Ovis aries: one gene and its partners. The protein of the gene in region 2 purifies or fractionates together with the protein of the main gene of each other region. This does not show direct contact. Links are inferred from orthologs where the notes say so. Each region holds a gene or a part of one and is shown on either strand. Other genes may lie near its edges.

What was found.
Region 1: the proteins of SS18 (region 2) and SMARCC2 purify together in Homo sapiens (affinity purification with mass spectrometry; 3 studies listed by BioGRID and IntAct, counting the BioPlex papers as one, with this or other methods). This does not show direct contact. The link is inferred for Ovis aries from reciprocal best matches to the Homo sapiens genes SS18 and SMARCC2.
Region 3: the proteins of SS18 (region 2) and ARID1A purify together in Homo sapiens (affinity purification with mass spectrometry; 7 studies listed by BioGRID and IntAct, counting the BioPlex papers as one, with this or other methods). This does not show direct contact. The link is inferred for Ovis aries from reciprocal best matches to the Homo sapiens genes SS18 and ARID1A.
Region 4: the proteins of SS18 (region 2) and BICRA purify together in Homo sapiens (affinity purification with mass spectrometry; 3 studies listed by BioGRID and IntAct, counting the BioPlex papers as one, with this or other methods). This does not show direct contact. The link is inferred for Ovis aries from reciprocal best matches to the Homo sapiens genes SS18 and BICRA.
Region 5: the proteins of SS18 (region 2) and ARID1B purify together in Homo sapiens (affinity purification with mass spectrometry; 4 studies listed by BioGRID and IntAct, counting the BioPlex papers as one, with this or other methods). This does not show direct contact. The link is inferred for Ovis aries from reciprocal best matches to the Homo sapiens genes SS18 and ARID1B.
Region 6: the proteins of SS18 (region 2) and DPF2 purify together in Homo sapiens (affinity purification with mass spectrometry; 4 studies listed by BioGRID and IntAct, counting the BioPlex papers as one, with this or other methods). This does not show direct contact. The link is inferred for Ovis aries from reciprocal best matches to the Homo sapiens genes SS18 and DPF2.

What each region holds. Positions count from the first base shown.
Region 1 is NC_056056.1:163,368,229-163,372,755, reverse strand, and holds part of SMARCC2 (SWI/SNF complex subunit SMARCC2), read right to left. Parts: intron 3,005-4,527; coding exon 2,891-3,004; intron 2,467-2,890; coding exon 2,313-2,466; intron 1,655-2,312; coding exon 1,562-1,654; intron 1,334-1,561; coding exon 1,214-1,333; intron 1,125-1,213; coding exon 1,062-1,124; intron 719-1,061; coding exon 460-718; intron 222-459; coding exon 60-221; intron 1-59. UniProt on the Homo sapiens protein: Involved in transcriptional activation and repression of select genes by chromatin remodeling (alteration of DNA-nucleosome topology).
Region 2 is NC_056076.1:31,045,439-31,050,419, forward strand, and holds the start of SS18 (protein SSXT), read left to right. Parts: upstream 1-1,551; 5' UTR 1,552-1,569; coding exon of another isoform or gene 1,570-1,591; coding exon 1,592-1,660; exon of another isoform or gene 1,661-2,071; intron 2,072-4,315; coding exon 4,316-4,392; intron 4,393-4,697; exon of another isoform or gene 4,698-4,738; intron 4,739-4,981. UniProt on the Homo sapiens protein: Appears to function synergistically with RBM14 as a transcriptional coactivator. Isoform 1 and isoform 2 function in nuclear receptor coactivation. Isoform 1 and isoform 2 function in general transcriptional coactivation.
Region 3 is NC_056055.1:240,200,981-240,206,114, forward strand, and holds the start of ARID1A (AT-rich interactive domain-containing protein 1A), read right to left. Parts: upstream 3,093-5,134; 5' UTR 2,330-3,092; coding exon 1,184-2,329; intron 1-1,183. UniProt on the Homo sapiens protein: Involved in transcriptional activation and repression of select genes by chromatin remodeling (alteration of DNA-nucleosome topology).
Region 4 is NC_056067.1:54,356,935-54,361,461, reverse strand, and holds part of BICRA (BRD4-interacting chromatin-remodeling complex-associated protein), read right to left. Parts: 5' UTR 4,482-4,527; intron 2,583-4,481; 5' UTR 2,578-2,582; coding exon of another isoform or gene 2,537-2,577; intron 2,440-2,536; coding exon of another isoform or gene 2,423-2,439; coding exon 2,397-2,422; intron 2,303-2,396; coding exon 2,227-2,302; intron 330-2,226; coding exon 264-329; intron 1-263. UniProt on the Homo sapiens protein: Component of SWI/SNF chromatin remodeling subcomplex GBAF that carries out key enzymatic activities, changing chromatin structure by altering DNA-histone contacts within a nucleosome in an ATP-dependent manner.
Region 5 is NC_056061.1:81,525,818-81,530,344, reverse strand, and holds part of ARID1B (AT-rich interactive domain-containing protein 1B), read right to left. Parts: intron 3,352-4,527; coding exon 3,223-3,351; intron 1-3,222. UniProt on the Homo sapiens protein: Involved in transcriptional activation and repression of select genes by chromatin remodeling (alteration of DNA-nucleosome topology).
Region 6 is NC_056074.1:39,986,822-39,991,348, reverse strand, and holds part of DPF2 (zinc finger protein ubi-d4), read right to left. Parts: intron 2,741-4,527; coding exon 2,580-2,740; intron 2,196-2,579; coding exon 2,088-2,195; intron 1,764-2,087; coding exon 1,600-1,763; intron 784-1,599; coding exon 691-783; intron 535-690; coding exon 456-534; intron 1-455. UniProt on the Homo sapiens protein: Plays an active role in transcriptional regulation by binding modified histones H3 and H4. Is a negative regulator of myeloid differentiation of hematopoietic progenitor cells. Might also have a role in the development and maturation of lymphoid cells.

The DNA of each region.
Region 1 (4,527 bases), on a different chromosome or scaffold from region 2:
GCCAGGCGGCTGAGGCTGCTGGTAAAAAGGGAGGAATTGGGGAACACGGCAAGCCTTACCGATCCTCTCCGGCTCATCGGAGGTGGTCCCTGCGATGCCACTGCTTTCCAGACCAAAGGCTGGGTCTGCCTTGCCTGTCACTTTGGCGGCTTCTTCCACTTTCCTAACGTGGGCCTCCACCAAAGCTGTGGGTACCTCTTCCTTCATTTTGGAGAACTCTTCTGTAAGACCCAGAGAGGGGGAGGCTGGGAGCAGGCAGGTAGGCAGTTCTGGCACTCTCTGTGAGAGCTCCCTCACAAACCCAGCTCTTCATCTCTGCCTGCGTGGAGCTGGACCGTTGCCTGGGCTGATGCCAGCCGCAGACAAGGCCAGTAGGGCAGTGAACTTGAGGGGGTTCCACAGTCAGAGTACCCAGCCTTTCAAATGCAAACCAAGAGGGATGGGAGCCCTGCGCGTTACCTAGGGCTGACTTCGCAGCAGCTGAGGCCACTCGAGGGTCGACGACAGAGGCCAAGAAGGCAACGGTGCTCATCACGGGGTTGCCTGACTGGCTGAAGGGGATGGGCTGGTAGGCCAGGGGGCCCAGGGAGGCCTCTGAGTCCTCCAGGTACGGGTCTTCGATGGGAAGCCGGAGAAAATGCAAGATGCATTCATCCTGTGTGCGGCTTCCCACGTGCTCTGACACTTTGTTCCAGTCATCTTTGTACATTTCCAGTGCCTGGTGGTGGTGGTGGAGACACAACCTCACTTACTCCAGTAGCCACCTCCCTCAAAGGTCAGCGTCCTCAACCCCGCTAAGCAGAGCTGCTTCAGAGCTCTCTGGGTTGTGATATTTATATACTCTGCCAGGCCCAAGGGGAATCTCCAAGTAGCACTTGGTAAGGACAGGGGACTGACAAAATGGTCTCAGTCCCTGCCCGGCAGCTGGCCCCTGGGGGAGTATATGATGGGCGCTGGGAAGGAGAGAGACAGGGCGAGGTCACGCCCTCCCCACTCCCAAGTGCGGCCGGCACCCTGGCCACTTCCCTTTCACAGGACTCTCCTTCCCTGGCCCCAGTTACCTCCAGGAGCAGCAGGGTCTCCTGTTCCGTCCACTCTCGAGTGGCACTGGCTGCGGCTTTGCTCTGCAGGGGAAACACGGGTGGGTCAGCAGGAAGAGCCTGCAGCCTTGCAGGAGGAGGAGCCCCGACCCCAGGTGCCCACCACCCTGTACCTTGGAGGGGACGTTCTTCTTCGTGTACATGTCTGTGCGCAGACCGAAATTCTGCATGTCTGTCGGTTTCTCCTTGCCTTTGTCAGGGAAGTTGAGCATTTGCTGGGAAGCAGAGTTCTGCTATTTGTGGAAGGGAAAGAGAGAGGTGACTCCGAGTGACTGCCAGGAGCCAGGGGCAGACAGAGAGAGAGGACAGACAGAAGGGGCTCCCTTCCCACAGCCAGGGACACCCCTGCGTGGACTTCCTCACTGCTGTAGCTCCTCTGCTCTCACGGCTCTTCTTCCCGGGCAGGGGCCCCCCAATAAAGGGGCAAAGAAGCAGCCCAGCGGGGTCTACACCCCACCTACCAGCTCTGGCTTGCCCTTAGCCGTCTCTGGCACCAGGTCATCCAGCTCTTTGCCCTTTCGCCCAGCCTTGGTATCAGCATCAACCTGGCGGCCCTGGGGGACAGAGCTTGGTGTCATGGAGGCTGGGCACAAAATGACCAGGCTGAGGCCCTGGAGGCCTCAAGACCAAATGCTGGGCAGCCCGAAGCTCGGGGGGCACTCATGCCACAGTTCCGTATTCCCTGAGTGGTTAATTAGACCTGGAATTGGCATGATATCCATTTGTATTCACATGTATCTTTACGGGTTCTCTTAGGAGCTGGACAAGTAGGTTCTAATCCTACATGTCTGACCCTGGGCAAGCCACATAACAATTTTTGTAATGTATGAAATGGAAATGGAAAAAAATGGAAGTGATAAAAATTATGAAGCAAAAATGAAAAAATGCTGGAAACGTGACAAGGTTAAAAAATTTCATGCAACTGAATTGTAAGCCATTTTTCTCTATCTGCTCCATCCCCTACATTAGCCTGTCTGCTCCCCGAGGACAACAAGCATCTCTTCTCCCTCAGCAAGTCCTTGCAGTCTTAGGTACAAAGGCTGAGAGAGGGTGCTAAATACATGGGACTGATTCCTGTGGCCCTTTGCATCCCATGGAAAAGGAAGAAGCCTCAAACACTCCTGAAACATTACCCTAAAAAACCAGAAAAAGAAAAGTCCAAAGAAGCCCGTCTGCCCAGTTCCACCCCGTCCCCGCAGCCCCTCACGCTACCTGCGGGGTCTTGGGCTGCAGTGGCACCAGCCCGGATGGTGTGTCTGCCAAGACGTGGAAGTGAGAGGTGGGCGGAGGCCCCATGGGAGTTGGTCGACTCTCGGCATCCACCTGGTAGTTAATGAGACCCCACTGTTCTAGGAAGGCATGGACCCTGTGAGGAGAGAGGCAGAGACTGGGTCACACACGAGGACAGGGCCGGGGGCACCCTCTTCTCTGCTCCTTCTACTCCCTGGGAGATACGGCTTCCTGCCAGCTCCTACACACCAGGGACAGCCAAGTCCCCATGCGCACCAGGGCCTCTCTCCATATCCACCCATCAGCTAAACCTTGCTTCCTGCCTCTCTCACCGGATGGGCTCCTTCACTACAGATGTGCTCCTTCTTCCTCCCGCCACACTGCAGAGAGCGCCCTGCACCCCCTCAGTCACCCTGACCCAAGCCTGAACTTGGCCTTTCTCTAGCAGTGTCTTTCCTGCTCATCCCCTATGCTCCTTGCCAGCAGCCTCTCTACTTCGACCAAGAGGCATCTGTGAGCATCGTCCTTGAGCCTCTGCCACCCCTCAGCTGCAGACCCACCTCATGATGGCACAGACGTCACCCGCCAGGTTCCTGCGACAGGCGGTGGACGTGAGATACTCCTGGGGGTTCAGCCGGTAAGTATCAATCATGAAGTTCCGATAGGCCAGGTAGCTGAGAAGAGAGAGATGTGAACGGTGAGAGGGCTGAGGGGTAGGGAAAATTGGTAAGAGAAGAACAGCCTTCATGTGTGACAGAGAATGCCTCATCCAACTCAATACACACTGCGGGTCGCCTGTGTGCTAGACATGAGGGGTTCAGACCCTCGATGGGATTTTTCGCTAAATGAGTTATCTCCTTGGCTGTGTGTGCTTGGGGATGTTTCGTCCAACTCTTTTTTTTTGGCCATTCCACATGGCTTGCAGGATCTCAGTTCTCTGACCAGGAACTGAACCTGGGGCCTGGCAGTGAAAGCCCAGAATCCTAACCCATTAGGCTAACAGGGCACTCCCTCATCCAACATTTGGAAAAGAAATCAAAAAGAGAAAGTGCCCTTAATTCCAAAGGCAGATGTTAAAGGGAAGTCCTTAGGGGTGCCTCCACCTAGTTAGCAGGGCACAGCCTTAAGAATACATGTTTTGAACGTGGAAAGGTCTACGTTAAAATCCTAGTTATACTATGATGGTCTTAAATTTTTGAAACTTAGTTACCTTAACCGTAAAATGAAGTGTCTGTTGAGAATAGAAAGGTCTATAGAGATACAGAATAGTGCTGGGCATGCTGTACAAGCTCCAAAAATGGCAGCTATTGTGCGGCGTAACGTAACGTTTGAGAACATGAGGCAGACTACAGGACTCAGACCCCAGCTTTATTACTCACGAGCTGTGTAACTATAAGCAAGTGACTGACGCCCTCCACACCTCAGTTTCCCTGTCAGTAAACTGAAGATAGTAAGAGCTACAGCTAAAGCTGATGTGAAGATTAAATTAGTCAAGGTATGTAGGATACTTAGGATAATGCCTGGGAGATAAAGGGCACTCAACACATATAGGCCATTATCGTTGTTTGGTATTTTACACCCAGAGTGCAAAGTGTAAAGAGTTCTAGTTCCAACTCTGCCTGCAGATCAAGTGGAACTCATGTCATCTGTCACTACTGCCTCTGGAGAGAGCAAGGCTTCTTTATATACTGCTTTCCTCAGCAAGAGGAGGAGAAGAGAATCATACCAGGCTGTGGGGAAAGAAACACGGTGGAAGGACCCTGGAGCAGGGAGATGGGGAGCTGAGGAATAGCTAGGAAGCCAATGCGTTCAGTCCTCAGGGTGCCTGGGCTCAGCACTAGCTCCCACCTGCCCAACCGTATCTATCCTGGAACATTCTTAACCACAGAAAACCACCAAACTAAAGCCAGGCAGGTTTGGTCTGAGGAGGAGCCTCGAAGGACATGAAGATGTCTGAGCCCCAGGCCCAGACTTTACAAAACACATCTCTCCATCCTTTAATTCACAGACTGGGTCTTAATAGTTCTTCTTCCCATTTTTTTCTGTCAAAACCTACTCTATGGGACCAGTAATAGTCAGTTACACTTTAGCCAAAGAGATTAATTATGCTGGAGATATTTGCATTTTAGACAGCACAGGTAAGGCTGGATGGAAAGCTCTAAACCCTGTTAAAAGAAACAGAGGGAGGAAACACAGC
Region 2 (4,981 bases):
AAAGACAATTCCTGTAAGAAACTACTATTTGCAGAAGTACAAATCATCTTACTTTTATTCTGAGGATGTCTTGAGTCTCTTTATCCTGTAGGTCTCAGGTTAAATATAACCAAGGGGACTTCCCATCACAACCACCTGAGTGCCTCTGTCAGTCTCCCAGTTTGCTTGCCTTCCTATTTACTTGTTTCTGGTCTCTGAACCCTATCAGAGTTTAAGTTCCTTGAGAACAGGTACTGGGTCCATTTTGTTCACAGCTGTATCCCAGGTGCCTACAATAAAGGCTAGCACATAAAAAGAACCCAAATTTGCTGAATGAATGAAACTCATGACCTTTTTGTGAAGAGCATTTACTTGAGACATATTTTCAAATAAGGAAATTTTCTTTTTTTTTTCCGGTTTATTTTATATATAAACCAAGGGATTGATTTCTGAGCCTCATTAATGTTGGGTGACATTTTTATATAAACTTTTCCTTCTTGTTACATGAAAGTTTAACTTTACTGTGTATTAACAAACCCTGCACCAACATATTACGGACCTTTGCCCATGTCCCTTCCACAATTTGGAAACTTTTGGCTTTTTCCCTCACACTGATTAGCTTGGGCCTCATGTACAAGCAAGCCACTAAATACATAATTGCAAAAGAAAAGCGCGAGGGTGCCCTATTTCAAAACCTAATTCCAAAGATGCAAGTCAGATGAAACTGACCCACATTTCCCTCAAGGGTTTATCCTAAGAGGCGAACTCTGGCCGCTGCAGCCAAGCTGGCCGACTGCCCATGAAGTACAGGACATAGCCTTCGTTTCCCGATTTTGGGTCGCGCTTACTTTCTAATTGTTCGGCAGGGCTGTGTGCGCGCACGAGACCGTGGACTCGGAGGTGCGCACTTCGGGGCGTAGCCGAGCCATTCAAACCAGCGAATCGGCGCTTCCCTAGTCCGGCCACCCCTGCCCGGTCTCAGCAGATGCTCCACGGGTGCGCACGAAACTCCCCGTTCCTGACCTTCCTCCTCCCCTCTCCGGATACCCGCACAGCTCGGGGCGGCCACTTCTACCCAGGAGGGGCTGAAGATGAAGTTGGCAAAACTGCTCGAGCTCTAGAGCGGAGAGCCGAAACGCCGCCGAGGGACACCCGGGCGCGCGGAGAGGGAGGCAAGTGGCCCCGCGCGAAGGGGGCGGGCCGGCTCGAGCGCTCGCATTTCCTGTGACAGGGGCTGCCCTAGCCGCTCCCTCTCCCGCGGGCGGCGGGACCATTTCCTGAATCGCTGAAGCGGAGGGAGGGCTGGGGCGCGGCCCTACCACGAGCGCAGAGGGCCGGGGGTGGCGGGGAAGGACAGGCGGAGGAACCGGAGGGCGACCGAGAACAGGGACGTTCTGCGGGGACCGCGGCTCCCAGGTACTGCGCAGAAACCGGACTAATTCGGGCCAGAGCTCCTCCCGCAGGCGGGGCAGGCCGGCTGCCCGTCGGGCGCCGGAGCATCCCCCCTCCCCGCGAGCCCGACGTGGTTCGGCCCGAGAGGCCGGCGTCTCTCCCCCAGTTTGCCGTTCACCCGGAGCGCTCGGGACTTACCCGTAGTGGTGACGGCGGCAACATGTCCGTGGCGTTCGCGGCCCCGAGGCAGCGCGGCAAGGGGGAGATCACTCCCGCCGCGATTCAGAAGGTGAAGCCGCGCGGCGTCGGGGATGCCAGGCCCGGACCGCGTTGAGGAGGAACCCGGGGGTTGGGCTCGGGCCGGGCTTGTCGGCCGCGCCGGGGGCGGAGGCGGGCCTGCTGGGCTGGCGGGCGGGTGTGGGAACCTGAGCCGCGGGGCTGCGCCCGAGTGGGTGGCGGAGGGGGCGAACTGCTCCCCTCGCGGAGTCTTGCGCGCCCCCTCGGGCTCCTTCCTACGGGCACAAAAGCCCTAGTAACCGCCGCCCGATTTCTCTGGGGATGGGGCGGCGTTCGCACGGCGGGGCGCGTGCGCCCGGCGGCGGCGGCCGCGCGGGGCAGGGCTGTTTTCCGAGGCCCGCGCCCCCCGCGATCCGCGCGTCGCTCCGGAGTTACTTTGGCGTCGCCCCGCCCCGCGCGGTGCGGCGGCCGCTCCGGGTCGACCCCACCGCGGTCCCCGGGGTGGGCCTAGGAGAAGTAGGAGCGCTGCTTGCTCTCGGTGCTCGGCTGCAAACTCCAGCCGAGTTGGGGAGCTCTCAGCAGAACTTGGGGAATGCTGCGGGAAACCTCGGCCGAGGCTCCGAGGCGGACGAGGGAGCACCCTCTAGACTTCGGGGTTCTCTCGGAGGCGCTTCTCCCCTCCGGATCCACCCCCGACCGATTTACAGCTGCAGCGCCAAGCGTAGGCGCCGAGGCTGCGGTGGTGAGCATGGTCCCTGCCTGCCTTCAGGGAGCTTAGGGTCGAGTGATGGATACAGTCTGAGCCTCGTGATCAGTTTCAGAAGACGTGATACACACGCGGGGAGCTGCGCTGTGGCCGCGGTTACTTGCTAGTTGGGGACACAAAGGTTTCTTTATTGTTTTCTGCCCCTTGTTGCCTTTGAGCACTGCAGCATTCTGAATTTTAGTGAACCAGAGTTTGTAAAGTTATTTGCTAAATTTTGCAGTTTACCCTAAATAGTTTGGTTTTGTTTTATGCACCGGAATAAAGATCAAAACGGAAAAAAAGTCAACTTTCAGGACTTGTCAAGACACCATCGTATGCCTAGTAGTTTATGTTAATAGGCTTCTGTTGACTCTCAGGCTCTTTACAGTGTGGCGTTTGACATTTGCCCAACTGTTGCTTTATTTATGAAGAGACACGCTTGGCATTGCCTGAAAATGCAGTGCTTTTTGTATAGCGTGCTGGGAGAAGTCTGCGACCTGGCAAACAGCTACGAGTACACGTACACAAAACGTGTTTCTGGAAGGCTTCACTTTTTGGACTGTAGAAAAGTTCTGAGTTTGTATTTCCTATGAAGAATTTTTCTTACCTACATCTTAAGATAATTTATCGTGGGTGACTAACTAAAGAGATGCTGATCAGTTAAAGTGTTCATCCTCAGCTCAGGAGAGAAAAAGGATCCCACATTAAGTGCCTGATTGTATAGCGTGAGGGAATGACGTTAGATACAAGACAAACCCAGACGTTCTAATGGTGAAGATTGTTAAACCGTGGAATCTACTGAGAAGATAGGTTGTGAAATCATTAGATTGGAGATTGTATTAAAACACATTCTAAAGACAATTTTTTTGGCATCTGATGAGTAGATATAAGAAGAAAACTGCAATTTTTTTTTTGAAGGGCATGTTAATGTTTTTTTTTTCCACCAAGTAAAGACATTCATATGCAGAAAAGAAGTCACACTTTTAAATGGATCTTCATGTTTAATTAAAAGAATTACATTAACTAAATTAATGAGAAAGAGTGGTTATGGTATTAAAGCTTTGAAATCCTGGAAGGGTGGGGGCGGTTTGAGGAGGAACATCTACTCCTGTCCCTTGATAAATCTGAGCCTTTGACATCTTGAGTGGTTTGCTCAGGATAGCTTGACAGTAAAACTGGCCTTTTAATTGCTACATCAGTGCTTTTTCCTCAGCACCACTCTGCTTAGATGCATTATTTAATCCTTAAAGCCAGTTTTGCTTTGAATTGTTTTCATAGTATGATAAATATATGCTTGTTTTTAAACTTTTGGGACAATTATAAGGTTGGCTCATAGGGTCTGTGGTTAATATAGTACTTACCGAGAAATTATTGGAATTATTGCATATTTGGAAAGTCACAAAACCATGCTGCATAAAACTGCTGGGAAAGATTGAGGGCAGCAGGAGAAGGAGGCGACAGAGGAAGAGATGGTTGGATGGTATCATGGACTCATGGGCACAAGTTTGAGCAAGCTCTGGGAGAGGGTGAAGGACAGGGAAGTTTGGTGTGCTGCAGTCCATGGGGTCTCAAAGAGTCAGACATGACTTAGTGACTGAACATCAACATAAAACTTGGAAGCTAGCCAGCTATCTCCTTAAGCCTCCTGTGCTGAAGTTTTCATCAGTTTACTTCATTCTGGATTAGGACAGATTAGCTTCTACTGCAGGGGGCACAGGTTCAATCCCTGATTGGGAACTAAGATCCCACAAGCTGGGTGGCAGTGGTTAAAAAAAAGAAATTGTTGATTAAACATAACATCCCAAAGATATAAAATAAGATCTTTTATGCAGAGCTATATTGTAGGTATAAAAAAGAACTGTGGAGTCAGTTCCTGTATAGATAAACTTTTATAGAAATCTTAATTTTTTATTTTACTTGATGCATGAGACTTACAATAAACTTTTTTTACTTTTATTTCAGATGCTGGATGAAAATAACCATCTTATTCAGTGTATAATGGACTATCAGAATAAAGGAAAGACCTCAGAGTGTTCTCAGTAAGATTGATATGAAAGTTTTTTGGTATTTCTTTTTCTATGTTGGTTAGTTTTTTTAACTTTCCTTTCTTTTTAAGAATAGCTTTATTGAGATATAACTCACATACCATATAATTCACCTGTTTTAAAGTGTACAATTCAGTGGTTTTAAGTATATTCATAAAGTTTTACTGTTAATGCTTTGATCAATTTTAGAACATTTTCAACAGTCCGGAAAGAAACCCTATCATTAGCAGTCACTCCCCATTCTCACCTCCTAATGACACACCCCCTGATAACCACTAATTTGCTTTCTGTCTGTGTAGGTTTGCTCATTGTGGACACTTCATACAAATGAATTCATTCAGTACGTGACCTTTTTTGACTGCTTTCTTTTAGCATCGTGTTGTCAGGATTCATCCATGTTGAAGCTTATATCAGTATTTCCTTCCTTTTTATTGCTAAATAATCTTCCATGGCTCTACCACATTTTATTTATCTATCAGTGATGAACATTTGGATTGTTTCCAGTTCTTGACTATGATGAGTGATGCTGTGGACATTTGTGTGCAATTTTTTGTGTGACTTTTCTTGATTTTTGTAAAAGAAA
Region 3 (5,134 bases), on a different chromosome or scaffold from region 2:
GCCATCAAAGAAGTCATTTATACCATCAGGAAAGTCACAAAACCAAAACAAACAGCAAACCCATTGTAGAGAAAAACTCAGCTACTGTTCGGACAACACAGAATCTATTTCAGGCTGCATAAAACATAACAAGCAAAATAAATCCAAGGTACAAGCAAAATCCCACTGCCTCCTCTTTTGTTCCGGGCACAATGTAACAAGGGCAGCCTGTCTGGGGCTCTGCTCCTGCTGATACAGTATTGCTGCTTAAATCTCCCTCCTCAAGGTCACAGCCAATTTCAGCTCTGGAATAAAAGGCAGATAGTGGCAGCGATGGTTTGGGTTATCACTGGCAGAAAAGCAGAGTGTAAAAGTTTATGAGCTCATCAGGATTGTTGTACCATTACATCAGAGGCAATTATAAATGGCCAAGAGCAGGAGATGGGGAGCCAATCAGATCACAGATAGGATGTCAACCTAAGACCAACTGTCTCCTGGCTTTGACAGAAGGATTTTACCTCCATAATTCAAATCCCAAACCAAAGCAATCTGCACTTACTACTCCAATCACTCAGCTGTTTACCAGCACTTCCAGGGAGAAGCCCAGGCCACTGGGCCGACGGAGACTAAGACAGGAGACGACCTGGGCTGCCCAGGGTGAACCGAAGCCGGGCTCTAGCTGCTCCCAAGCAGGCCCCTGCCCTCCCTCGAGGTCCCCCCGAGCCCGAGGGGCCCCCTCCTTGAAAGCACAGATGGGGACCGGCCTAGAGGAAGGTAGGGAGGGCAGAGAGGAGCGGCAGGTGAGCAAAGAACTGTTCACTCAACTCCCGACCTCCGAGGGCTGCCTACACCCCTAACCTGAGCCCCCAACACCCCCTCACCCCGGGCCGGGCCCTTTTCCCGCACACCCGGCTCCGCACCCCTCTGAAGACCCCCCGGAGCTGGAAGGGACCCGGGGAGGAGGAGGAGGGGAGCAGACACCTCAAGGAAAGCCCCACACAAAGGCTGAAGGAGGGAAAGAGAGGAAGGCAGACGGGCAGCCATTTTAAGAGAGAAAGAGCGAGACAATGGCAGCTCCCCAGCAGTGGGGGCCCCAGACTGGGGGTAGCCCACGGCCGTGGCCCGCTCCCCGCCGCCGCCATCCACTCCCAGGACCCCCCCGCCCCACTCGCCACAGCCCCCCCTACCCCACCAGCCGTGTTACCTGCGGGGTCCGGGCGAGCGGCTGCCCCCCGCCGCCGCTGCTCCCAGGGCTCATGGGCGCGTGGTGGCTCCTTTGTTGGGCCCCTCCCGAGGCGGCCGCGGCCGCCGCCGCCGCAGCAGCAGCAGCCCCCCAGCACTGAGAGGCCATGTCCGCCGGGCCCTTGCCGGCGCCCCCGTCCTGGGGCCCGCCGCCGTAGTCGCCCCCGGGGTAGCCCTGGTAGCCCCGGGCCGAGCTGGGCGACGTGAGCAGTTGGTTGAGGGTGGGGGTGGCGGTGGGCTGGGGGGTTCCCCCTGCGGCCGCTGAGGGGCCGCCTCCCCCCATGGCCCCGAAGCGCTGCTGAGCGAAGGACGAAGACGACGAGGAGGCGGAGGCGCTGGAGGAGGGAGGCGGCTTGGAGCCGGCGGCCGCCGCCGCCGCCGCGCCGGAGCCCGGAGTGCCACCTCTCGGGGAGCTCAGCGCGTAGGCCTGGGGGGGCGGGGGGTAGGCGCTGCGGTTGGGGTAGTAGGAGTTGTACTGGTGGTTGGGGAAGCCGTGGTCGTGCGAGTTCTGCTGGGGCCCCGCGTAGGGCTCCAGGCCCCCGCCGCCGCCGCCGCTCTGCAGCGCTGCCAGGCCAGGGCTTTGTTGTCCGCCATGTTGTTGGTGGAAGACGGCGGCCGCGGCGGCGGCGACGGCAGACGGGCTCCGGCCGTAGGGTTGCCCGAAGCCGTAGGCTGGGGGCGGCAAGGCGGCCGCGGCTGAGTGAGGAGGCGCCCCCACCCCGTCGCTGCTGCCGCCGCCACCGCCGCCGGGCGGCTCCGTGAGGTTATTGTTCAGGGCGGGCCTAGGGCCCGCGTTCCCGTTCGAGTTCTTCAGGTCCGGCTCCGCGCCGGGCCCGCCGGCTCCGCCGCCGCCGCCACCCCCATTGCTCTCGGCCCCGTCCTGCAGCTCCTTTCCCAGTGGCTGCGGCGGCCCCACGGCGGGGCCCTCGCTTTCCTGCCCGGCGGCTGCCTTCATTTCCCCGCGCTCCGCCGCGACCGCCGCCGCCGCCTCGCCCCCCGCCTCCTCCCGCTGCTGCTGCTGCTGCTGCTCCGCTTTCTTCAGCTCCGAGGGCGGCGGCGGCGGATTGCCCAGGCTGCTGGCGGCGGCGGGGGCGACCTGCGCGGCCATGATCCCCGCTGTCTCGTCCGCGGAGAGACCCGGCCCTGTCTTCGTCTTCTCTCACCCCCCTCCCACCCCACCCCGCCCCGGGGCCGAGTCCCCCCGGGCTTCCCTCCCCACCCGCCCGGGCGGGCCTCGCGGGGCTCCGCGGCTTTTGCGCTGCGCTCGCTCGCTCGCTCGCTCGCTCGCTCCTCTCCCCCCCGCCCCGCCGGCTCAGGCTCCGGGCTGGCGGCGGCGGCGGAGGAGGAGGAGGCGGCGGCGGCGGCCGAGGCGCCGGCGGCTCAGCTGCTCCCGGCTCTGTAAGCTCGGGACCCGGCTCTCCCGGCTCATTCCCCCCCAAGCCCTTGCCTGGGAATGAGGGGGGCGGTGGAGGCTCCGCTCCCCAGGGCCTGGCCCCGCTGTGACTCTCCGCTTTCTGCTGCCGGAGAAAGGAGGGAGGGAGGGAGGGGAGGGAGGGAGGCGAGGGGGAGGGGGCGGGGAGGGAGGGAGGGAGCGGGGGGAGGGGGACCCGGGACGGGCGGGCTGGAGGGCGCGCGGCAGCAGCCCGGGCGCCGGCAGGCAGAGTCGGAGCGTGGGCCGGGCCGGGCGCCCTGCCTCCCCTCCCCGGCCGCGGCGCCGGGCCGAGGCTGCTGCGCGGCGGCGAGCGGGCGAGCGGGCGGGCGGCCGGACTGAGCGGCTAGAGCGCCCCACTCTCCTCCGAGTCCCCCTCACTCCGACACGAGGCTCAGCACTGCCATTTTACCCAGCGCCGTCGCGGCCGCCTGGCAAACCCGGAACGGAGCGCGGAGCGGGGCGCAGGCCGTGGAACGGACTCGCTCCCTTCCCCTCACAAAGGAGGAGGGGAGAGAACCAGCCGCGGCGGCGGCGGCGGCGGCGGCAAGCGCTCTGCCGCTCTCGCTCGGCAGCGCCGCCGCCGAAGGCTTCGGGGAAAACCCGGCCCGGAGCTCGCGCCTCTCCGGAGCCTGCGCGCCGCCTCCCTCCTGGCCTCCCTATCCAGGTCGGTCCCCTTCGCGCCGCGGGCAGCGTGAACTTTACTCGCGGCTGCAAAATTGGCCTGAGCCCGAGACCGCGGCCGCCTCGGCCCAGGCCTGACCCCCCCTGGCAGCGGGCCTGGTCTCTTGGCCGCTACTTAGCATCTCCGCGGCACTTTTCCTTCTTCAAAGCCTTTTGCAGACCTGCTCCAAAGACCCAGCTGAGCTTTACGTTGTATCCTCTTTGCAAGCTGCATGGAATGACAGATCATTGTTTCAGACTTTCCGTTTTCCCACTCTCTGCCCTCATTAGCCGGTCCTCACAGGCCCTGGGGGCACGAAGTTCCTGATCCCCATTTTACAGACTCATAAGATAGCGAAGGGGACCGGCCTATCACTTAGTCTATCACTTACAAAGACAAGGGCAGTGGAGGGTGACTTTAAAAAGTAGCAGAGTCCCCAGTGCTGCCCCTGTCTACTTAGCGTTAGAAATAATAGTAATAAAAAGAAAAGTGGTGCCATATACAACAGTGGGATCAGAACATCAGAATGGGTTTGAGATTCAAGCTGGTCATCTCAACCGATATAAAATGGTCACCCCTGAAGATATTTTGGGGACATATGACCGCCTTCTTGGAGGAAGACACAAGCCCCACCTTTGCCCACAATGACCAAGGTCCCGTCTCCAAAGACAGTACCTGTAAGACTGTAACAGACCACAGAAGAGACTCCAGGGACTGGTGGAACCTGAGTGTTCAAAGGAACCTCTGCCGAAGAGGGATGACCAAGTAGAGGGAACCGTTTTCTCCTTAAAAAGAGAGAAAAGGTGCAGTCTAACACCTCACTCAGAAAACAGATGCAGCCTAAATTTGTTTTTCTATCCTTCATTGTAAGGAATCATTAAAGTTTACTGTTACATTCTAAGAGATGCTGAATGGGAGATGCTGAGTGAACTGGAGGTATACACAGAAAATTCTAGATTCACAGGCTCCACCACATCTCAGCAGCAGCCTTGTCCTCTGACTGACTTAGAATGCTCTGACATGACAGGCTACACAGGCCAGAAGGGATACCGGCTTCTCACGAAGCCCAGGGCTGCCTTGAGAGATGCTAGGTCAGCTAGTCATTAGACACCAGGGTTTCATCCCCACTTAAATATTGTAAATAGATGCTTCATGGCCACAGAACCATTACCTTAGAATTTCCAGATTCCGCAGGCCCCTGGAGGTTTTTTGGCTGTGCCACTCACTGGCCACTGAATAATTCCCCAAACCTGAACTCATTCTTAACCCCCAGAAAACCTAATATCATCTTAAACTAAAAAGGCACAAACTTCTTAAGACTCTAAGAGTGGTGTTTTCTTCGCCTCAAGCCAAGAACCAAACCAGCCTACCAGAAACTGACTGACTGGAATGGACCAGTGCCCTCCTTTCATTCATAGTCCTCAGGGGCAACAACTCTCCTGGTGCATCAGGTCCTAGAAACCAAATTATAGGCTGCCTCAGAAATGGAGCTTGGCTATTTAATCAACTGCCTCTGAGCTGGCAAACAGTCCTGAGTCCTGCACACAAATGAAGAATTTTTTACATGCAATTACCCTGCCATTTCCTCAGAGCTGGAGTGTAATGAGAAACCTGGAGCCCAGTGAAAATCTGGAAGCCAGAATGAATTTGCCTCCAGAGGAAGCCCTCATCTCCCTTCTTCAATGGCTGTGAAATTTGGAAAATGCCAAAATCCCTTTCTGACACGTGGGCACGCTGTTTTGAAAACAGCCACCATCTTTATCTAGCAATAAAGTGCACAAAAATCTATCTACTTGGGTTGAAGGAGGTAATTTAGGATT
Region 4 (4,527 bases), on a different chromosome or scaffold from region 2:
GCGCTATAGCAGCTGATCCCTAAGGCCAGGGACCCAGGAACCGCACCTCCTTCTCTGAGGCACAGCCTGGAGGTAGGGGAGGTATCTGGCAGCCTCGGCCTCACCTGCACCCCACTCTGCTCTCAGTGACTACGCCCCAGCCCCTCACTGGAGGGGCAAAAAGTGCCTCAGGGAATAAGTGAGACGCCCTCCAACCCTCTCCCACTGGCTGCTACCACGGGCGTCCTGCCCACCACCCTCCTCGAGCCCCCGTGGCCACTTACCCCAGGACCTTCATAGAAGGCACTTTGGGCCTCCCCGGGATTATCCAGGAGGTCATCACTGTCGAGCTGCAACAAGACCCGCCCCCACCCAAGGTCAAAGGTCAGCTGGGCAGTGGGCCGGCCCACACGCTAGAACAAAAACCAATTTCGTGTTACACGGACACAAAGACAAAGACGAGGTGGGGGTGGGGGGGATGCAGGGGGTGGGGGAGGTTCGAGGGGTACGGAAACTCCACCTCCAGAAAAGAGGCCCCAAAGGAAGGGGCTTGGCTGCAAGTTTAAATCCTAAGGAGCCCCCAGCACCACGTCCGAGGCTCCCCGACATGCCTGCCTGGAACTCTAGAATCCTGCCTCCGCACCTTCACCCAAGCAGCACCCCGGGCCTTCACCCTCTGCCTCTTTGGTAACACATCCTGCAGGGCCTGTCACACGTGCCTCCTCCTCCCGACATGTGCCCGTCTGTCCCTTCCAATGAAATCAGTCCTTCCTCTGCACAGCCGCGTTCCTTGGGCGCCGGATGTGTGAGCTGCTCCCATGTCTGGGAGGGCAGGGACCGGTCTCATTCCAGGAGTTATCCTCAATGCCGAGAACAGGCCTTAAGCGCCCACTGTCCACAGTCGAGCTCCCCAGTTTCTAGCTGATCCCCTTCTAGAACCCTAGACTGGTATGGGGTTGGCCAAAAACTTCATTTGGGTTTTCTCATTACATCTTACAGAAACATCCAAACCAACTTTTTTTTGGCCAATTCAACATATCTAACTGCTGCCCTCGGACTTCTGGGGTCTGCTCCAAACTCCCAGTCTCAGGGAATGGTACAACCCTTTTGGTTGCTCAGGTCAAGTCCAGGAGGCAGTCTGGACACTTCTTCACCATCTAATCCACTGTCAAGTTGAGTGACGCTGCCTTCCAGGCACCTCCTCCACCGCCTGCCTTGGGGCCCAGGCCGCCATCCTCCCATTGCACTTGCCTTTGCTCCACAAATTATTCGATACATCCCCTTGAGGAGTGGAGCTCTTTTCCCTCTCTGAGAGTGTGGGTGGGCATGGTGACTCGCTTCCAGTGAATGCAGTGTGACTTCGGAGACTAGGTCATAAGAGGCGCTCAGCTTCCTCCTGGCTCTCTCCCCTGGGTCACTTGCTTGGGCAAACCAGCTGCCACGTCATGAGGATGCTCAAGCAATCCTCTGGAGAGGCCCACGTGGCGAGAAGCTGAGGCCTCCAGCTAACAGGCACAGGAGTGGAAGCAGGCCCCCCAGCCCCAGGCAAGCCCCCAGATGACAATGACTCCAACCAACATCCTGAATGCTACTCAGGGGAGACTGCAAGATAGACACCCAGGCTGCTCCTCCATTCCCAATCCCCAGAAACTGAGAGCTCTAACAAATGTTATTAGAAGTCAGTAGAAGCCACAACGCATTGGGATAACTTGTTATGCAGCCCTAGGTAACGGATACAACCCCTTGTGGCTCAACAGATGTCCCCTCGTCCCCGCTGTGTTCCATTCTCCGGAGTGCAAATAGAATATGCCATGTGGCTGCTTAATAAACTGTCGGAGCTGCCTGTCACATTCAGAATAAAGTCCAAACTCCCCAGTCAAGCTCCTCTAGGCTCTGCATGACCTGGGGATTTTTGTCCACTCCAGTCTCCCCACCTACTAGTTTACCTTTCATCCTGGCCCCACTGGCCTTCTTTCTGTTCCTGGAACGGGTCGGACTTTCCCGCCTTCCCACCTGCTCTCCCCCTGGTCAGAGCACAGTGGGTGCCTCCCTTTGGTCCTTCAGCTTCACCCTCAATGTCGCCTCTCTGCCCACTGCAGCTAACGAAGCCCCTGCCCTTGCCCCCCACCTCCCATTCATTTTCTTCGGATCCTCCTTTGTGGTGCAAAAGTGATGTTGCTATTTCTTCTGCTGCCCGGCGTGGTGCTTTCCACCACTGCCTTTATTAGTCACTGGTTGCTTGTTTACCCAGGAAATGTGTATGGCGTGAGGGCAGGGATTTGCCGTCTCTTTCCCTCTTCGCCGTGAGCTTGGGGCCTGGCTCCTGGAAGGCAGATGTCTACTCAGTGTGGTGGTGGGGGGCTTGACTCACAGCACCCTGCTGCCCTGGGGGATGCCTCGCCCTGCCCAGCACTCACCTTCTCGGATCCATGTAAGAAGTCATTGAGGGCCTGAGGGTCACTGAAAGAGAGAAGGGGAGAAACACTTGAGGAGATGAGGGACAGGGGAGAGGAGGGAGAGTGAGGGGGGAAGGGGGGACGGGAATCCCACTACTCACCAAATCACGTCTAGTAAGCATCTCCCATCCTCATCATCCATCGCCACTGGATGGGGCAGGGCAGGAAGAGGGCGACAGGTTAGATGGTGGCAGCGGGCCAGGACCCTCCCCACAAGGACCATTTCTTGGGGGCCCAGACCCCTGGAGTCTGTGGGCATGGACGGTGGGGGGGCGAGGCAGGACCCTCCCCACCAGCAGCTCTGACCAGAGAGACACGGCTGCCTTTTCCTCCTCCCTCTGTCCCCCCAGCATCCGGTGATGACAACGATGACGTCAGTCCTGACTAAGTGAGCCCTGATCACGTGTGGGCCCCGTGCCAAGTGCTTCACACACGCTAACGCAGTTAATCCCCAGGGAACCCCTCGAAGTGGGTCTTGCCACCCCCCCAGCTTCGCAGAGGAGTTAATGCAAGAGCAGAGACTGTGGTTCTCCGTCTCCTGGCTCACAGAGATCTGGCCCCAGAGCTTGTGTCTGCCTCCTGAGGGCAGGGCTGGCCCAGTGCGGGCATTGGGGGGCTTGTCCTACACGCGACTGGGTTGGGGGGAAGGCATGAAGGGGCTCAGGTTCTGGGTCCCCGTGGAAGACACATGCAGTGCAGTTCTCACGGAGGGAAAGAGAGGGACAGGGACCCAGAGGGTGGGCGCTTGGCGTCAGAGCAGCCGCCGGAGCCCGGCTGAGCCTGTCAGAGCGATGAGGATGAGGACGGCTAACATTTGGCCCGGGCTTATCACGTGCCCGCCAGGCACTGTCCCAAGCATTCCACTAATGTTAGCTTGTTCAATCCCCATGGGGAAGGGTACTGTGTGTCCCATTTTATAGCGAGAAAACTGAAGTTCTCTGTGTTTGCCATCCCCCCAACCCTCACCTAACCTCCCATTGCTCCAAACATCCCACCAGGCTTCCAAGTACCCATCTTGCCAAACTTCCGCCTCACGGTCCATCTCTCCTGTCTTCCAAACACATCCAACTGATCCATCCATCTGCCCACACATCCTTCCCTCCCAACGATGCAGACAGGACCCGAGAAATCACACACAACCCCAGCCCAGAGCCGTGGACTTCTCACCCTCTCTTTTTTTTGTTTTGGTAGGGAGAGCAGGAGTGGTCCTGAACTCACTGAGGAGGATCTACCCCTCCCTACACCTCAAAACACACAAAATCTCACTTGTGCCCTCAGCTGGGTCATGATTCCTCACTCTGACAGATCCTCTGAACTTCGCAATCGCCACTCCAACCCCCAGTAACCTCAACGGCTCTGTGACAGCCTCGGGAGGAAGCCCGCGTCACTAGTTTAGGGTCTTCTCTGAACTGTGCCTTGGAGGGTCTGATGAAAGCAAAAAGACCCTCTGGCCAGAAACACGCATGTGGGCCAGATATGTTACGCGTACTTCTGCATGGGACATGCACACACATATGCACACACGTACACATTTCACGGGCCCCGGGTTACAAGGCCAGTCTAGAACAGAAACATCCATCTTCAGGGCCTCACACGCCAATCACCCTCCCCTCTAGAGCTGGCCCTGGGCACGGACCGCAGAGGGGCCTTTCCCTTCCAAGACTCTGGCTGCACCAGGCGTTGGTACAACATACTCTCTCTGGCTTCACATCCCCGCCCCCACCCACGCTTCCTTCTTCCCACGCCACCAGCTCTGCTGCCAACGAGCCCCTGCCCTTCCTAACCAGCCCACAGTGGGCAAGGCCTGGCCAGGGAGCAACCTGGCAAGATCTGCAGAGCACCTGGAGAAGAGGGGGATGTGGGAGGGAGATCCTGCTTCTCCTGTAGATGGCGAGGAGGCAGGGGGCTGGCCCGAATGACCCCGGGGCCCCAGGTTGGGAAGGGTGGAGCTGAAGGTTGCGGCTAAGTCAAGGAGGACCGTCCCTTCCGTGGAGGAGGTGGGGGACCACAGCCCCTCTGGGAATGAGCTCACGCTTGGCTGGTTACCTGCGCTACAAACGAATCATGAAGGGAAGGAGGGGGTGTCCACTCC
Region 5 (4,527 bases), on a different chromosome or scaffold from region 2:
CTTGATTAAGGTTGAGCTACAGGAGGTGCTCTGGCTGGCTGATTTCAAGGAATAAAAATCTACCATGGCCTAAAGATCTAGGGCTTGCCAGGCCTTCTGTAAATTCACTGAAGTCATGCATATTCCTTGGAGCTTATTTCTAAGGAAAAACAAAAAAATCTGGATAATGCTGAAATATCCAAATCCACAGATCAGCTGTATTGAGCAAAAATGTCAGTTGTTGGACAATACTAGATGGGTGGCACCTAGAATGAATGAATGAAAGTAAAACACACTAAATGACTGAGGAAAATTGATTTCACATGTGTGTATATGTGTGTTAAGCACAGAGGTCAATCATTCAACAAATATGAAGGACTATGTTACAGCTTGGGATTCATGGAAATGCTTCTTTAGAACCAGTAAGTCAACATCTTTCTTAAACTGTTGGCCAACTTTGGCTCGCCTGAGCTTTGACAATGTCTCAGAATTCTTCCAAAGTGATGCTACACACTGCCGTCAGAATTGGACTGAATATGAACGTCATCTGCCAGCTCTGACTAGGCTTTTAGTATGACAACTTGTATTTCCCACTCTCTGCTTCTCATGGCTTCAAAAGAGCAGAACATTATCTAGAAATGTTTTAAAAATGAATACAGCAAGGCATCTTCTGAGTAAAAAGTATATCAAGTGTGTATGGGGGGGTAGCCTGGACAGATATGACATACAAACTGTTCATTTCAATTTACTGGCTAGTATTATGCAGCTAATCTAGTAACTGAACGGTAAGAGTCATAACATTCTATTGTAAATTGTCTGAAAATCAAAATGAGGGAGTCCTTCACTCAAAAGGTGACAAAAAATTGATTCATCCATATGTTTCTGAACTTATTCAGTGTCACTCTTAAAAAAGGAAATAATAAAACTAGTTAAATATATTTTGTTTTTTTTCTCTAAACTATCTTATATCTGACTAGTTGAGAAACTCTGAAGCATAACTGCCATAATCCTTCATTTTTGCAGTTAGCTTTCTGTCTCTAAATGTACACACACACACACACACACACACACACACACACACACACACTCTCTTTCTCTCACACTCACTCCCTCCCTTCATCACTATCTGTCTTTCTCAGATTCCCTCATAGGCTCTAGGCCCTCTGGGATTCTGACTTGAGAAAGAAGACATTATAACAAATTCTGAATACTATATTTTTGAAAGGTTTGAGCTATTTCTTCCATAAAATCTGCCATTTACTGAACTGCTTTTTCAAGTTGCCAACCTAACTTTAACCTCACAGAGATATCCATGAGGAAAGAAAACAAAAGCAAAAACACAATTTGCTGCGAGGAGGTGTTAGGTAAAGCAAAAACAATGCTGAAAATCAAATTTCCTAACTGCCAGCACTGAAACATGTACTACACATGCTTTCTCACAATCAAGCTTCTGCTTAAAAAAAAGGGAGGGCACAACAGGATATATATTGCAAAGGAAGGAAGACTTAAAATAGAAATAAAACTTTCTTTTTCAGAAAGAACAGTATAAATACAAATGGCAAAATTCAGAGCTAACAGGAATGGGGCTGTAAGGATGAGCCTTTGCCAAGTGGGTTTCATACAATTTACGGACTCACGCCAACATCTTTCTTTTCCTTATTTTTAATTAAGGAGGAGGTGCTGAATTCTGAGGAAGCTATCTGGATGCTGCTGGCTGAAATGCAGATCTGATCTTCTCGTGCTGGTTGGCGAACATTGATTTTCTGCCCCAGTGGAAGAGATTTTACTCTGATGCATGCCATTTAAATTCATTTTACACAGCTGCTTAATGTGGCTTGGCAAGGCCCAGCCAAACTAGCTTTGTGGGTCTAAATAGGACTCCTGAGTTGGTAAAGGACAGAGCCTATGGATTAGCAGCTGATGATAAATGCTTTTCTCCCCTCTTATCTTCCTACCAACTCAGGAAGTGACCTTGAACATAGCACAAGAAAGGAAAAAAGATGAAAGGCAATTTCTCCAAAATAAGTATGTTTACCTCATTCCATACTTATTTCAATTTTAGGATTATGTTTACAGAACTCTTTATCTGTTGGGACAATTAGGACCGTGTTTACAGGATCTAGAACTTTCAATGGCAAAACTATCATTTGCACTTGTTGCCTAATACATTAAAAAGCTGTGTCATACATTCCTAATAAGTAGTGAAAACACAATTATGTAAGTTCAGTCTTTTAACAAAGTTGATTGTTCCCTGTTTTTTATTTTACAAAAATGTTGTATCTTTCTACTGAAAGTAGCTCCTGAACACAATTCAATCTACAGGAGATAATTTCATCATTACTATATGTTAAATAAGATCACTAACAATATTTTTGCTTAAATACGCAATAATAATATACTTTAAGATTATTTACTAACCTAAAGACAGTGACAGCCTGATATTACAGTTTTGTAGCAGCAAAGAAGAGAGATACTTTTTGTTGCTGTATGTAATTCCTGTGTTGAAACTGATAATAATATGGCAACACTGTGTTTGGGGGAAAAAATCCTGTCTTGGATTATTTGGTTATATTTTCCCGGTGACTTTGATATTCTAATCCTCCTTTGGGAGAAGGAAAGAATAGAAATCTTTGACGCAGATGTTTGCTCAGTGATGTCACTAGACCCTCCCAAGTCCTATTAATAACCTCCGCCCTGCCTCCTGCGTGGGGCTCTCGTCAATGCGCCTGCTGCTCTCTGAATTCAGGGCGGGTGTGGAAGCTGGCCGCTGTTGTGGCAGGAATGACAGTGACACGGTCATGGTAACAGTGCTGCACAACACACGTCCTAGACAACACGACAGCAACGGTGGGGGACATGACGCCGGAGCAGGTGACTTCATTACTTTTACATGGATAAAAGTTTTTGTTTCCCTCTCAGGCACGAAGGAAAGAAGCCATGCCGAAGTCATGCAGAGACAGAATTGGGGGGGTGGCGGGGGTGGGGGGTGGGGTGGCGACATGCAGGTCTCTACCAAACTACCACAGTACTGCTGGGGAGGATGAGAAAACGAAACAGAACAAAACAAACAAAAACCCAAAACAAACAAAAATAAACAAAAGACAACCCCCTCTGAGATGGACCTTCTCTTGGATCTTTCACGCTCCTGCTTTGGGTGTTCCTTTTGCAGCCAGATGGCATGTTCATTAACAGTTTAAACAAATGCCCAGGTCCCGCAGCAAGTCAGGGTGTGTGGCTACCTACCCGTACTGGTCAGGCTGGTGCATCATGGGAGCCTGAGAGTTGCCATAGTTGGGGTGCTGGGAAGAAAACATGGGGCGTCCGCCAGCCCCAGACTGGCTGGGATAAGCAGGCGACCTAATGTATGGTGGCCTAAAGTAGAACAGAAGAACAGCTTCTTTGGATTTGTTCTGTAGACAAGTATGAATCCCCCTGTCCATTACATTATCTCCACACCAAGGTGTGGTGGCTTATAGTGCGTGGCCTGATACTCCATATTAGAGCTCTGATGGGCAGAACGTGAAGGCAAGACTTTGGAATGGTCTATTGATTAGAAAAAAAAACTGAAAACGCTTGGATGTAAACTTATATATTAATTTATATAAAATTATATATAAACTGATTCAGAAAGGGAACACAGCAAAGCTTTTTCATCAAACAACTATGTCTTAATCTCTACAGTTATAGTCTTCCCAGCTCATTACTCAAGGTTTCATGTCAAATGCAATCAAATATTTTCTCCTTAAAAAGGAAATAACTTGTGTATTTTTTGAGTTGTGACAATGGACAATTTATTTAAACCTAAATTAGAACTTCAACTGGACGGGCCCAACCAGTCCTCACAGACAGGTATATTAAAACATTCTCTCTGCAGCCATAGGTTCAGTTCAGAGGTATAGTGCCAGGGTTCAGAAGATTCTAAGTCACTGTAACATGGATAAGAGTGAGAAAGGTAGGGTGAGGGGGTAAGAGAGAGAATCTGACTTTCATTTTGATTCCTCAAAGGAAATGTATTATTTGGTAGAGCAAATAGTGAGACTGGAAGGGTCCCTAACATTCTCAAATAGCAGCTTCAGAGGAAAAGTAACAAAAGGATACATTTACACACACACACACACACACACACACACACACACACACACAGAGGCTCTTATTCCACCTTGACAAAATCAGAATCTTCTATTTTTCCTCCTGAAGATACCGTATTGTTCAGTCGCTCAGTCATGTCTGACTCTGCGACCCCATGGACTGCATATCTTTCAGTGTCCTTTGTTTTAAACATCTTAACATATGTTAAACAAAATTCAAACATTTTTTTCATTTGAGTCTTTTAAAACATAGTCACTTTGCCTCATGAACTTTTAATTCAATTATTTTAAAACAGGTCGAGTATTTACTTCAAGACTTTTTTCAGGATTAAAAACAAGTAAATAATTGAGGCTAAAGCCTTGCTCTATCAACTTAAATGTTCAGAAATACAATCGTTGTTTTGCTAACTGCCTTTTGGTTTGGACAGAGAGAGACATATGCCCAGAAAAATAAAAGTAC
Region 6 (4,527 bases), on a different chromosome or scaffold from region 2:
GTACAGCAGCAGCAGGAAAGCAGAGCAAACGAGAGAGAAACCCCAGCGGAGACGGTGGTCCCAGGGTGCAGGGACAGAAGTGGGGCGAGTCAGAGAAAAGGGGAAGAGGGAACAGACATCGGAAAAGTCAGCGCTGGACTCCTGGGGCCTGACTTGATTGGGGCCAGCAGGCCCAGATGTCATCTACTGAGAGGCCAACTTTGCCTGCTGTGTGTCCCTCATGGGCACCCCCACCCCAGAGGACAGCAGAAATCTCCCCCAGAGCATGCAAGGCTCACCCATCGTGCAGCAGAGGCCGGGGCCTCTCAGGGATCTCAGAGGGAACCAGTCAGCAGGCAGGACAAGAGTCCAAGCTTGTTTTACCACTTTGAGCAAGAATACAACCTTCCCTCCTTTCATATCCCGAGGAGCTGGGTCGAAGGCAAGGACTACCCACCCACTCGTGAGGCACTCACTGTCACAGGCATAGGGTTTGTCCCGATCCTCCAGGATGGAAGCGTCCAGCTTCTTACGGGCACTGCCCACACCTTTACTCTGCAAAGAAGAAGAGCCCTTAACTACGGTGTCTGGGCCTGAAGAGTTATTCTCTTGGTAGCGGCTGCTAATCTCATTCAGGAAGGATGATGGCAACAAGCAGCAGTAAGACAGTGGGACTCTGCAGGCTCCCCAATCCCCTGGGCTGCCCCTCACCTTGGACTTCCCCTTGCCCCGACGCTTGGGAGTGTCTTCTTCATAGTCCTCATCATCAAGGTCATCCAGGAAGTCATCTGGTTCTAGGATCCGCTGAGTAGACAGGAGGATTAGGATGGGCAGAAATGAGAACATCCAACAGCTCCCCCACGTTGGGACTGGCCAAGGTTGCCAGAACCGCCTCCGTGACCCAGCGGCTCCACTCCAGCCTCACTCCTCACTGCTGTTCTTTCAAGGCTTTGGGCTCTCCTTCCTCTGGGCCTTTCTTCATGTTGTTCCCCTAGTCTGGAATGCCTTTTCCACCATCTCCAAGTAGCTAAATCAAACGCCACGTTTTCATAAAACTTTCCCTGATACCCCAAGTGGCATGCCCTCTCCTGCCTCTGATCTGCCACCTGGGAGCATGTCAGCAGTGGTTCCCTTCCAACACCTAACATCCCAGAGTTAAACTGGAGCAATGCTGCTTACTTGAGGCAGGTTTTTCCTTTTTCCTAATGTGCTGTAGCGCGCCACCCCTCCTTGTGAAATGGGCAATGGTACCTATTTCCTAAAATTGTAGAGACTGTAGAAAATGATGGAAAAGCGCTTAGCAGTGCCTGACATATTTTTACGTACAGTTTTCGCTTCCTTGTTGGCAGAGACATCACCTAGGTAACCCCAGGCACTAAAAAAACTCGGGTGGCAGCAGAAGATGAGAGTCTATAGTTACTAGAAAAGGAGCAGGCAAGACGGGATGGTGACAGTGCAGCCCGTCAGTACGCAGTGCTCACTAAGGAATGGAGCAGGCAGAACAGCAGGGGCCCCTCCTGGCCCATAGCTCTTGCTTCTATCCTGATTACTGGGTGGCCTCGGATGAAGAGGAGACTGGTTTCCACCACAGTTTCCTTAACCATAGTGTTAATCGTGTACCTTCCGTGCTCGGCTGTTCGTCACAGGAAACTCGCCCAGGCTGTCATCATCCACTCGGGGATCGGGGGCGCCTCGCTTCTCCAGGGGGTCGGTGCGTAACAGAGCCTCTAAACTACTGCCATCCTGAGAGATCAGCCCCTCCTTCTTCAGGGTCTGGTCTGTGTCTGCGGGCAAGGTCAGGAGGAGGTGAGGCTCACAAGGGCTGAACGCAGATCTGCCTGACCTACAGTGTCAGACCAATCACAAGCCAGTCACTGTCTTCTGGTCTCTGGCTGCCCAGGAACCAAGATGCTTTCATTTACTTGGCACCATAACTTATCTGTTTACTTGTCTCTTAACTATTAGACTGAATTCTTTACAGAAAGACTCACATGTCATTCATTTTAGTATCTTCAAAATCTAGCACTGGGCCTGGTATGTAACAAGTGATTAGCAGGCCTCTGACTATGCAGCAGGGTATATCCCGCTCAGGGAGGACTGTGCTTCACCTGGTTTAATAGATGGGAAAGAAAGCCTTGGATCCTCAGGAGGGTGGGCTCGCCGCTTTTTCCGCCAGCGCCGGGCAGGGTAAGAGTACAGCTGCCCAGAGGCCAATCCTAAGGAAGGAAGGAAAAGAGAGAAATCAAACCCTAACACAGCTCTAGAAAATAGTATCAAACACTTTCTACATGAGTAGCGTTCTAGAGCAAGGGAGGAATATGGATGGTAAGCACCTGGGGCTGGAGGAGGCATGGCTTATGGACAAGAAAACAGATTAAGCTCAGGAGCCTTGGCTAACACATAGCTCTCCAGAGCCCAGCAAGACCCTGAGCAGTGTAGCCCTGTGGACAACAAAAGGTGTTTCAACCTCTCCAGGCTTCTAATCACGGGAAGACTGTATGCATCCCTGGGTGGAAAGCAACAGGGAAAACCTATTCAGCTGGCTCATCACCTAAGATGAGGAAGCTGGTTCCTCCTTGGGCTCCTGAGTGGATTCTCACCTGGACCCCGATGTCGCTTTTCCATCCAGATATAACAGTTGCTCTGGGCTACTCCCGTCTGTGAGTCCAAGAAAGGCAGGCGTACGCTGCGCTCAGCACAGAGGCGGGCGTTGTAATTGTGGCACTGCTCCATGGCATCTTTGTAATACTGCTCCCCAAGGCTTCAGGAAAGACAAAACTCAGGTGTGACTGCGCACGTGTGTGTTTATGTGCTGGGCTATCCCTTTCCCTTGCCATCTGCTTCTCTAGAAGGCTCAAGGGACTGGGAGAATGTCACTCTGCTTTTATTTGCTTCCATTTCTGCCTCATGGGACACCAAACCCCTTCACTAGGCCATTATGAGGAAAAGTACCTTACAAATAAATTACCGTCAGAGCGCATGATTGCACCCTGTGTCTAATCAGTCCTTAGTCTAACCCACAAAGAGGGGAAGAAAATAATGTTTGTTCTGTGCCTCTCGTGAATCCAACACTTTGGTAACCAAAGAGCTACTTATCTTAACCCTCAGGATTCTGAGAAGCTGAAGTTACTCCTGTTTACAAATGAGAAGAGTTCAAAAGATCTGGGGGGACTTACTAAAGTTTATCAAACTCCATCTATACAAAGAAATTCAACTTAGCTATAAGAAAAAAAGGAAGCTCTTCATGTACAAACATTAAACAATCTCCAAGATAACTACAAAAAAAGGGGAGGGGGTACAGGGCTGAGCAGTGCTATGGGATGTCCCTAAGTGGTGGAAAAGAAACTGTAGGAGTCCAAGGAGAAAAACCAGGTGACTAGGGGACTTTCTCCTTTGTGCCATTTTATATCTTTTGAGTTTTAAACTAGGTATTTGCAAAGTAGCTAATTCTATATACTAACTTTGCAATCAATATAAATCATTTGGAAATATGTGAACACCCTTGAAGCCTACTTTCTACTGAGTACCATTACACTGATACAAAACCTGTTTGCAGAAAGGCCTATTCTAGACCCTTCTCCATTCTCACACCAACAAATTTTTTAAGAACCTTTTTGAACTCAAAAGACCTCCTTTGAAATTTGAATTTTTTAAGAGTGATTTCACTTTGACTTTTCACTTTCATGCATTGGAGAAGGAAATGGCAACTCACTCCAGTATTCTTGCCTAGAGAATCCCAGGGACGGGGGAGCCTGGTGGGCTGCCCTCTATGGGGTCGCATAGAGGACTGAAGCAACTCAGCAGCAGCAGCAGCAGCAGCAGCAGCAGCAGCAAGAGCTTTAAAAAGCTGCAAAACTGCAGTGCCAGGAGTAATCTGGTTCTAAGAAGCATGTATACAGAACCAACCTTGTTCTCATCCTTCAGGGTTTAACAAGCACAGTAATACTAGAGCTTAAACTAACACAATTCACATTTATATATTCGAGCAAACTTTTTCTTTCTTCGCACTACGTGGCTTGAAGGATCTTAAAGTTTGCCAACCAGGGATTGAACCTGTGCCCTTAGCAGTTAAAGCGCCAAGTCCTAACCACTGGACCGCCAGGGAATTTCCCTTGATTGATCTTAAAGTAAACAAACTGAGGGCAGATGATTTCTTTCCCACAATATCCTCAGCACCCATGAAGGTGTCTGGAATATCCTGACTCAGAAGTAAAAAGATCAGGCTTGGCTGCAAGTCACCACATATATGGACATTTAGTCAACCCACGTGGATCTCAGGTATGCTATTGACTAGGGAGGCTGAACTAGATAAGCTCTGACATATTCTACAAGAGGGAGACTCCAAGCATGAGAAGTTGAACACAGTAAATCTCTGTCGTTTATGTTCGTAACTCAAGCTGCAGCAACAAACCCTGCTCTGGAATCGAAGAGGGGCTTTCATGGGGCAGCCACTGAGGCACAGCTTAGAACGTTCCCAGCAACCAACAAAGACATACACTGCACGCAGGCAGTGACATCACAAGATAGTCTGGCTTGATTCAATGTGCT